Linked DNA regions of Drosophila melanogaster. The protein of the gene in region 1 purifies or fractionates together with the protein of each later gene. This does not show direct contact. Each region holds a gene or a part of one and is shown in the gene's direction. Other genes may lie near its edges.

Region 1 (3,375 bases):
TTAGACGGACAGATCCAGGCGCGTATTGACTCCCACAATAAGATCCTGTTCGCCAAGGAGGCGGATCAAAGGAACAGCACCTTTGAGCGGGCTTTGATCATGGGCAAGCAGTACCAGCGTCATACCCGCATGCTTGTTCTTCGTGCTGCAATGCTCAAGAGCCACATCCACGTGAAGAGCATTTCCCGGGAGGGTGGAAGCAACCACGGCGCCGAACTTTGCGTCTCCGCCGGATCCTCGACAACTGCTCAACTCGCCCGAATCTAGAGCAATTTAAAAGCACCACTTAATACCCAATAAATTTTTTAAGATATGTATATCACAAGCTGGCAAAATAAATAATTATAGCAAAGCTAATGAATGATTTTAAAAACTAGTTGGTTCCTCAAAAACGAAAAAGCACCATACTTCATCGTGTAAATGAAATATAAATTAAATTAGAATTTTAAATATGACGATACAAATTGATAAAAATTTATTGGTGGGTTTTACAAAACTAATTCTACCGCCTGGACCGATCTCTGCGCTCCCTCTCCCTTCTTCGGTCTCTGCTAAGCGATCGCGAGCGATCTCTGGAGCGGGATCGATCTCTCCGATGCCTATTTTCATTGCTCCGCCGTTGGTAGCTATGATCCGAGTCCCTAGTCCTTTGATGTCCATTTCTTTTGTCGTCCCTGTGATTGCTTTTGTGATTGTCCTCGGAGTCGCTGCTGTCCGACGATGAAGAGGAGTCTGAGCTATTGCTAACTGAGCCCTTTTTGTCTTTTCTGCTCGATTTGTCCTTCTTGGATTTCTTTTTCTTGCTATCTTTTTCGTGCCTTTCCTTTTTTGATTTCCTTTTTGTGGGCTTCTTGATGCCCTCGCCTTTGCGCTTCATTCGTTCAATCTTCTCCAGTTTCTTCAACAGCTTTAGCTTTTGTTTCTTGGACAGGGATTTGAGAAAAACTAGTTCGGGATTTTGGTCATCGGCATGAGCGTCCTTCTCGCCATCGCTGGGCACCAGTTGATGTTGCTGTTGAATGGCCCTTATGCTCTGCAGCTCCTGTGCCGATCGCTTCATCATGAGGCCATCCTCCTTCATCTGTTCCTCCAGCACGTTTTTGGCCATGATGTCGCTGGCCTCTGTTTCTGCGTGCAGTTTCCGTGCCTCGCTCATGGAAATGCTGTACATGGTGCACTCCTTGTCCGTGTTGATGTGGCCCCACTTGTGGCACTTGAGACAACGCACATTTCTCACCTGGATGCCGAAGGGCTGGTCCCTGATCTCGGTGTCGCCCTTGCAGTACGACTCTCTAGGAGCGTTGTACTTTCGCTGCCACTCGAACTTGTACTCCGGCTCGTTGTCATCTTTTTCGCGCTCCTTTCGCACTCCTGGCGGTGGCTCGTACATGAAATTGACGCTCAGCTTATCCTTGCTGTCCTTGCTGAGCATTGCCTTGTTCTCGTGCAAATTCTGCTCCTTTTCATACTGGTTGCGTAGCTCCTCCTGCTTCTTTTTGTACGCCTCCGCCTGCTGCTCCGCCATCCAGACCTGCAGAAGGTAATCCCTATAGTTTTAGGCGTTTTGCTGGGGAAGAACATATTTCATCAGGAGCCCGGAGCCACTTACCCTTTTCAAGTTGTCCCTGGAGGCGGGGTGGAAGAATTTCTTGCACATGTAGTTGTTGAAGCCCTTGCCCATCTTGCTGCTGTGCAATTTCGCTACCAAATTGCAAACAAATAACCAATATACAACTTTTATAAATACTTTCCAGCTGCGATATCAGGGCACTTTGACTGCGCTTATCGATAGGCTAAGAAAAGTATCGCATTTCATTATCGGTATAGTAACACAAGTAGATAAAGCGTTGCCGGACTGTTTGTATTTTACGAATACATTTTAAAAGCAACTCGAAACCTTAGGTTTTGTTTCATGATGAATAACTACGACGAATCCGATATGGTTTATTGCCCGTACAACAAGGAGCACAAAATGCTGCGCAAGAAGCTCCAGCAGCACATCTTAAAATGCCGTGTGATCTACAAAGACACGGTGGAACTTATGGTTTGTCCCTTCAATAGTTCCCATTTGATACCAGAGCCCCAGTTCTTTGTGAGTACAGAATATACGTAGTAGTTACCTTGTATGTCCTATTAAAGCCCAGCTTTCTGCATACGTAGCAACACACCCAATCGTGCGAGGATCGAAACATTATAGTACACTATCAGACCAGCGCTCCTGCTGTCCTCAGCGAAGACACCAGACACGCGAAGATCGAGTCCGAGGAGAACTGGGATGACGACGAGAGTGTGCCCGATTACGATCCTCAGGTCTACTGTTCCAGGGCCAACATAGTGAGAGAGCCCAATGGGTTGTTTCCCGCCCAGCGAAGGGCTTTCATCGAGCAGGAAAAACGTCGTCACTTTGGCGAGGATTACGAGGAGGAGAAGAAGCCGCGGAAGGCCAAGGCTCGCGCGGATCTTCGTCCCACTCCCTACGAGCACAGGAGGCCATACTCAAGGCGCCAGTAGTTCGTGTTCATCAAGAATTACTCCCACTGCCAAAGAACAAAAACCAAAACATTTTATCGGGGCTTATACTCGTTATTATAACCAAAAAAAACAATTCCACGGCCAAATTGTTAAAATTAACATGTGCTGTGAAACAAGTATTGCTCGCAGTTCAGATGAGCAAATGACAAAATCAATCTCATATTATTCTGAGATAATGAAAATAACATACATATCCCAAATTCATGTACATGTGTAAACTATGTGCCTTTTTCCATTAACGACACAGATAATCGTGAAATAAAGCATTTCACTTTGTTTCTTATCAAAAAAAATACTCGTTTCTTACTCTTCCTTAACCTATCAGTTTATCCCCAACAATACCTTTATTCGTTTATACCTTTAATTCGTTATTGCCAAAGTGGGTATATAAATAGGGGAAATCCGACGTATATTGGTTTCTTTAGTTATCCTAATAATATTGGCTGTTTTTCAAATCGGTCTGTTCTGTTTATTCTACCTACAAAATGAAACTCTTTGGGAAAGTTAAATAGCTTTGAAAGTTTGCTGTTGATGCTTATCAAGATTGTATAGTAGGAATACACGATCGATTATACATGTAAGTAGCCATTACGTATTAAATCTGCTATTTTTGGATTTTTGGTTACAAGCTTAACTTAAATCAATCATTTGACTATTAATTTGAATGGATGGATGCCAAATACAGCATTTTATAAGTCCAAATTCAATGAAAACTCTATTTCAAGCTAATGCAAGTCAATTAAAGGTTTTAACTTTTAGAGTAACAAAAATATGGAGAAGATGGCAGTATAAGTTATATCTGAAACAGAATCTAATCGGGCAGTAATCAAACATCAATAATCT
Region 2 (6,999 bases), on another chromosome or scaffold:
ACCTGGAGGACGGCGAGGTAATCATAAGCACCCAGACTACCGAGCATCTAATGACCATATCTGCCGGCCTTTCAGCTATCGGAGAGCGACGATGATGGCGTTTACACGCCGTTGCAGCGACCTGACGGTGCGGAGAAGGTGGCCAGTCCCCTTACCACCTGCCATCAGATCCAGACTGCGTTAGAGGACGAGTCACAAAGCAACAGCGACTCCTCGACTGCCGAATCCTCCGAGGACGGGTGCATCAAGAAGCTTCGTACGGAATCCACCGGACCCGACGGCCACAAGAAGCGGAAAAAGCGCATTCGGCGCACGGTAATGCGGCGCGTTCCGCCCACGGATGCTGAAATGCAACCGAATCGAGCCCGTTTCAAGAAGTACAACGTGTGGGCTTCTGCCCTGCAAGAGGATGCGCTCAGCGAGAATATGCGTGGCTGCGACGTTACCCGAAGCGGTCGGGATCGAAATGTTGAAAACTACGACTTCTCATTGCGATACCGGCTGAACGGCGAGAACACTCTAAAGCGACGACTCTCAAACTCTTCGGAGGACGGCGGCGAATGCTCCCATCCAGCTCACAAGAGGGGAAGACCTTCTAGTCGGCCCATCACCGGGAATCAACAGCGCGGTTTGGTCAAGAGTAGAACGGGTCACCGGTCACGTCGTGGGACATCTTCGGCCAGCGGATCTTCCGATTTCTGCGAGCCCAGACACATTCTGGACTTAAACGAAGTGGGTGAGAGAGATCCTTCGGATGTGGCTACCGAAATGGCCAGCAAACTGTACGAGGAAAAGGACGAATTACTTGGTGAGTATGTGAAATAAATAATGCCCTACTTAGTAAATAATGCCAGTTTTACCAGTTCGAGTCGTGGAGGTTCTTGGCATAGATGTGTGCCTAGAGCTATACAAGGAAACTCAGCGCATTGAAGCCGATGGCGGCATGATGATCAAAGTAAGTAGTAAAGGATGTTCCCCCGAATATACTAACACGATACCTCGAAACAGAACGGCATACGGAGACGTACACCAGGCGGGGTATTCCTGTTCCTAATAAAGCACCACGATAACATCACTCAGGAGCAGCAGAAGCGCATTTTTAGTGAGGATCGCCAGAGTCTGAGCAAGTCTCGAAAGCAGATCGAAACGTTGATGCGGGACCGTAAGGTGGAAGAGTTGAAGAAGTGCCTCAGCAAGCAGGTTACGGAACTGCCGACGTTAAATCAGCGCAAAGAGTACTACATGCAGGGCGACGAGCAAAGTGAAGATAAGCAACCGGGCAGCTGTAAGAAGATCCCATTATTATTGTTAAATCTCCTATGTGACTATTTTGACTATTTCAGTGTCCAACCCGCCACCCTCCCCTGTTGGCGCTGAGCAGGAGCACGACAGCCCTGAGTACAGGACCCACGAGATCAATATAAATCTTGTGGACAATGCGGAACTTCCCTCCACATCCAAAGCAGCGGCGGCGGCTCAGGGAGCGCCGCTGAAGGATTTAATCAGCTACGACCACGACTTTCTGGACGTCAATTGCGGGGACATGGACTTTTTCTAGGCCCACGCCAAGCGGCGGGCCCCTTTTATACTATTCTTGCATAGATAGACCCATATTTGTACAATTAAATAAATGCCTAGCGAATTAGGAATCTACGAAAGTAACGGTTGCTAACAAAGTAAACAAACGCACGCGTTAGGGCATTTTCGGGCTGCGTGAGACAAGACTCGGCCAGGCGGTAGAGATTTCCGCAGTGTCGATCGATAGTGTCAACTCTAGTCGGCCCACAGCGACGACGCCGCGTAAAATATTTTTGTTTCTCCGCATTCGTTGAAAAACAGCGGCAATTGCTTGTTTTTATGTGTGGTGCGCGTCCCAGGCAAATGCAAACGAGTCCGCGACTTCAATTGCCGAACGCCTAACGCCACCGTGAATAGAAAATAATAGTGATGCGAAAGACCCGCTCTCAGACGGCTCGCACGCAGGCGGAAAATGCCGCAACATCTTCGAGCCCCGGGCACCAGTCGACTTCGTCAGCGCCAATAGCAGTTAATCCCTTTGATTCCACCAAGTACAAGGTATGTTTCCGCCAGTCTCAGTTTATTCAGTCCAAAGAATTTTTCATAAATATGGGGGCCATGGTTATTGATAAGCAGTGTGACCGCAGAAAAAAATGGTGTCTGTACCCTTCCCCACCCACGAACAGAGTGATTTGCCAGCCAAATCCGCCGGCGCTTAACAACACTATCATCCGCCATATTTCTTCAGACCGTGCGGACAAAACAAAATTCGTGTGACAAAAAAGGGGGCATTTTTGCGGTAGTTTGTTTAAGTGCAATTTGCGAAAGAAGGAAGGCTGCCAGTGGCGAACACAAGCCTTACCAAATTTTCTGCATATACCAACGTTAAAAGCCACTGAAACCCGATCGGTTCCACGAAAAGAAACTTTTTGCGAGAACGCCATGTTTGAGCATCTAGGTAATGATTTGGTGGCATGCGGCAGTTTCGGACCAGTAAATTATCCACAGATGGGAAAAATGTGGAAGCCAGGCTTTTGTCCGACTGTCAAGCAATCACTTGGCATATAATGTAGAGCGAATTTATGATTTTTTCTGCATAAAGCCGCACAAGGCATACGCATGTGTACATATGTGCGAAAACGCGATATTTGCATATAGAGCGCGCTTGTGTGTGTGTTCGTGTGGACGCTTGGTGCTAAGTCCCGCTATTTGGACATAGACACCTTCCCAATTTTCCGAAATACAAAATTTTCATTGTTCGCCATGCCATTTCCGTCTCTTCAGGAATGTGAGCAAATGGTGCAGATGCTTCGAGTGGTCGAGCTGCAAAAAATCCTGTCGTTTCTGAACATCTCATTCGCTGGACGAAAAACTGACCTGCAGAGCCGCATCCTCTCGTTCTTGCGCACCAACTTGGAACTGCTTGCCCCGAAGGTCCAGGAAGTCTACGCCCAGTCCGTGCAGGAACAAAACGCCACGCTGCAGTACATCGACCCAACCAGGATGTACTCGCACATCCAGCTGCCGCCCACCGTGCAGCCCAATCCCGTGGGCCTCGTGGGCAGCGGCCAAGGTGTGCAAGTGCCCGGCGGCCAGATGAATGTGGTCGGCGGCGCACCCTTCCTCCACACACACAGCATCAACAGCCAGCTGCCTATTCACCCCGATGTGCGGCTGAAAAAGCTAGCCTTCTACGATGTACTCGGAACGCTAATTAAGCCTTCAACTCTGGTGCCACGCAACACTCAGCGCGTCCAAGAGGTGCCTTTCTACTTCACGCTCACGCCGCAGCAGGCCACCGAGATTGCCTCTAATCGCGACATTCGCAACAGCTCCAAGGTGGAGCACGCCATTCAGGTTCAACTGCGCTTTTGCCTGGTGGAGACTTCGTGCGACCAGGAGGACTGCTTCCCGCCGAACGTAAACGTCAAAGTGAACAACAAACTCTGTCAGCTGCCTGTAAGTATTATCCGATTATCCAATCAGGACCTGGTATAATATCCTGCTCTTTATTCCAATGCAGAATGTCATTCCTACAAACCGACCAAATGTGGAGCCCAAGCGTCCGCCGCGACCCGTTAATGTCACGTCCAATGTAAAGCTGTCGCCTACCGTCACCAACACCATAACGGTTCAGTGGTGTCCGGACTACACTCGTAGCTACTGTCTGGCCGTATACCTGGTAAAGAAGCTCACCTCAACACAGCTTTTGCAGCGAATGAAGACGAAGGGCGTAAAACCAGCGGACTACACGCGAGGCTTAAGTGAGTTTTCTGTGCTCCAATGATGCAAACTTAATAATAAATACCATTTTTTTAAAGTCAAAGAGAAGCTGACTGAGGATGCTGACTGCGAAATAGCCACCACTATGCTGAAGGTTTCCCTTAACTGCCCGTTGGGCAAGATGAAAATGTTGCTGCCTTGTCGAGCATCAACCTGCTCGCATCTGCAATGCTTCGATGCCAGTCTCTACCTGCAAATGAATGAGCGTAAGCCCACGTGGAACTGCCCTGTATGCGACAAGCCGGCCATTTATGACAACCTGGTCATAGATGGGTAAGAAATGTCATTTCATTTAGCATATTTGTAACTGATTAAACTCTGTTTTCCAGCTACTTCCAGGAGGTGTTGGGCTCGTCGCTTCTAAAGAGTGATGATACTGAGATTCAACTTCATCAGGATGGATCTTGGAGCACACCAGGACTACGGAGCGAGACGCAGATCCTTGATACGCCTTCAAAGCCCGCCCAAAAGGTTGAGGTTATATCGGATGACATAGGTAATCGCCTAACACGCAACCTTTTAAATTGTTTTGACATTAATCAAGTTTTTCGGACATTACCAGAACTTATCTCGGATGACGCCAAGCCAGTAAAGAGGGATTTGTCCCCAGCACAGGACGAACAGCCCACATCAACGTCAAACAGTGAAACTGTAAGTAGAGAGCACCAATCTACAACCTACCAAACTGTCTTATCATATGACTGTATTCTGTCTGCGCAACAGGTTGACCTAACGTTAAGCGATTCAGACGACGACATGCCGCTGGCTAAGCGTCGTCCGCCCGCCAAGCAAGCCGTCGCCAGTTCCACGTCGAACGGCAGCGGTGGCGGCCAACGTGCCTATACCCCGGCACAGCAGCCCCAGCAATCCGGTACGTTGGATCCCTTTTTGCAATAAGCCAGTAACGAGAATTATATCTCTGTATAGCCAAGAAATCTTTATGTTTACAAATTGCTAATTGTAGACCCTAGGGTAAAGTAGTTATAAGAATCCATACACATCCCATTTACATACATCCACACTGACTCAACCACGCTTCGGCACCAATAATTTAGACAAAGGAATGAAATCCTAACAAGATCAAGCATTTAGGTTTCGGTTCACCTTTTACGGCACACCTCTAGGACATCATTTAACGTAAAAGTATTTTTTTGGTGCATCAATTGTCTTAAATAATATTAGAAAATTTTAACTGCAAAAGTTCGAAAGAGTATTCACATTGTCCAAAATGAAAATTACATATATGTTACATATGATTCTGACTTCATCATCACTTATTGTTATTCAAATATAATTAGGTCCCCGATTCCGCTTATGACTTTAGTGCATCATTTGATTTTAGTATGAGTACACCCAGTTAAAATTAACCCAATTTTACGTGTAGTATGTACAAACATATGTTTATGTTTCAAAAAAGTGACCAGAAGGGCTATTTATCATGATAATTTTGTGTTAGATCTACGGAGTCCAGCATCGAAAAGGTTTCCGTAGATTTCGTAAAATCCCCTAGCCAAAACTTGTATAGACTAAGTAGGCTATAAATTGACTCTATCCGCTTTCGTTGCTTGTATTGTAGGTGGTAATGTTTTTAAAAAACCTCAGAAAGCGGAGGAGCTTTACAAGCGTGTTCATTTAGGAGTTTGGCTGCGCCCACGGTATGTTTTCCGTCGATCGATTGTGAAATGGTTCGGGTTTGGAACAAGAATCCCATACTTAATCAGAACATTCTTACAGAAAACCCAAGCCAGAGAGCTCAAGGCGCCCAAACGTCGGCTAAGCAAAGTTAATAGAGTATTTTTCGGTTTTATACCACCATTTGTCCTAATTCATTTTCAATGTATTTTCTGTTGTCACCGAATCTAAATTATTTCACGATATGTACTCTTATTTTAAGTGATAATTTTAATAAATCATGCCAGTTTGTTAGTGAAGGTTTTTGTTGAGAGCCTCTTTTCCGATTGTTGTTGTGTTAACCTAAACCCAAGGTTATATGATGATAATAACTAAACTAATTCAAGTAACTTGTGCATTTCTTTGTCTTTTTTCTTTCTCTCTCTCTCTTTCTCTTCTTCCCCTGATCTTTTTGTGTGACCCGTCCATGCTGCCGCCGATGCAACTCGTAGAATCCCCAGAACAGCAGGCCAGCCGCCAATCGCCAGAGAAGCAGACAGTCTCAGAGCAGCAACTGCAGCAGCAACAGCACGAGCAGCCAGCGACGGCAGCCGTCCATGCCTCCCTCCTGGAATCCCTGGCTGCTGCGGTCGCGGATCAAAAGCACTTCCAACTGTTGGATCTGGCTGCGGTTGCGGCTGCTGCAGCTGCCACGGCGTCCTCCGGCCAGAGCCAGAATGCCGGCCCGTAGGCAGGACCCACATCCCACACACATTAATCGCACATCTCGCGGCTCGCGGTCTCTTACTGTTATGGTCCCTATATTGGCCCGTCCAGTTTCTGTTTTCGGTTTCACTTCCGGTGGCGCACGGCCACATATTACCTTAGAGGCTATTCTTCGGCGTTCGATTCGCCGCCTTGCATCACCTCATTATTCATACTCTATCAATCGCGAGCCACCAACTGATGCTTGTAATTCTTGTGTTGCAGGACGCAGGCATAACAGACAGGTTTTGTAGGAGAGGGTCCCCTGTTCCCGAATGAATCCATGTGCTCCCCCATCGGCCAGATTGTTGCTGCCCCTTTTTTCAGTTGGCTCACACCAAAACACTTTGCTTACGTCCCGTGTCTTTTATTCGTGTCGTCTCGAGTAGTTAGTTGTGTTACGCTTTGCCAGCGCTCTCAGCAACACACGCCACACCACACAGCAACTGAAATATTCCTAGATATTGCAAATACACAAACTAGCACCAGCATTAATTAGCAATTACTATAGGAAACGCAATTAATTTATTTTCCATTGAAGCGGTCAGCGCAATGAACACTATGAGGAAAGCGAAATGAAAGGATGCATGCCAGGCGGCGGCCAGTCGCGGCACCAAAATTTAAAGTAGTTAAGTTATTTTAGTTAAACTACGGATTCTGTACGGATTGGAGGCGGTGCTGTGTGCAGTTGGAGGGTGTTGCAGTCCTCGCATTTAAGTTACGTTGCAAGACAGGGCGGAATGGCATATGGCATTAAAGGTCCATAGTATTGAAAGCAATCGAAGCCGTTTTTATCAATGCAAATCGATTGGAAACGACGGA

What was found.
Region 2: the proteins of arx (region 1) and Su(var)2-10 purify together in Drosophila melanogaster (affinity purification with western blotting, with the first as the bait; one study listed by BioGRID). This does not show direct contact.

The regions. Positions count from the first base shown.
Region 1 is NT_037436.4:18,900,037-18,903,411, reverse strand, and holds arx (asterix), read left to right. Parts: upstream 1-1,857; 5' UTR 1,858-1,939; coding exon 1,940-2,092; intron 2,093-2,160; coding exon 2,161-2,511; 3' UTR 2,512-2,817; downstream 2,818-3,375. Other genes in the region: CSN1b (COP9 signalosome subunit 1b), read left to right, coding at 1-267; CG6843 (uncharacterized protein), read right to left, coding at 503-1,531, 1,610-1,681. UniProt on the Drosophila melanogaster protein: Acts via the piwi-interacting RNA (piRNA) pathway which mediates the repression of transposable elements during meiosis by forming complexes composed of piRNAs and piwi proteins and governs the methylation and subsequent repression of transposons.
Region 2 is NT_033778.4:9,114,376-9,121,374, forward strand, and holds Su(var)2-10 (suppressor of variegation 2-10), read left to right. Parts: upstream 1-1,746; 5' UTR 1,747-1,947; coding exon 1,948-2,076; intron 2,077-2,242; exon of another isoform or gene 2,243-2,781; coding exon of another isoform or gene 2,782-2,802; coding exon 2,803-3,477; intron 3,478-3,541; coding exon 3,542-3,782; intron 3,783-3,839; coding exon 3,840-4,074; intron 4,075-4,130; coding exon 4,131-4,297; intron 4,298-4,363; coding exon 4,364-4,452; intron 4,453-4,512; coding exon of another isoform or gene 4,513-4,524; coding exon 4,525-4,672; coding exon of another isoform or gene 4,673-4,698; exon of another isoform or gene 4,699-5,377; coding exon of another isoform or gene 5,378-5,456; exon of another isoform or gene 5,457-5,535; coding exon of another isoform or gene 5,536-5,578; exon of another isoform or gene 5,579-5,730; intron 5,731-5,924; coding exon 5,925-6,163; 3' UTR 6,164-6,402; coding exon of another isoform or gene 6,403-6,431; 3' UTR 6,432-6,441; downstream 6,442-6,999. Other genes in the region: Phax (phosphorylated adaptor for RNA export), read left to right, coding at 1-17, 76-808, 864-955, 1,009-1,285, 1,344-1,558.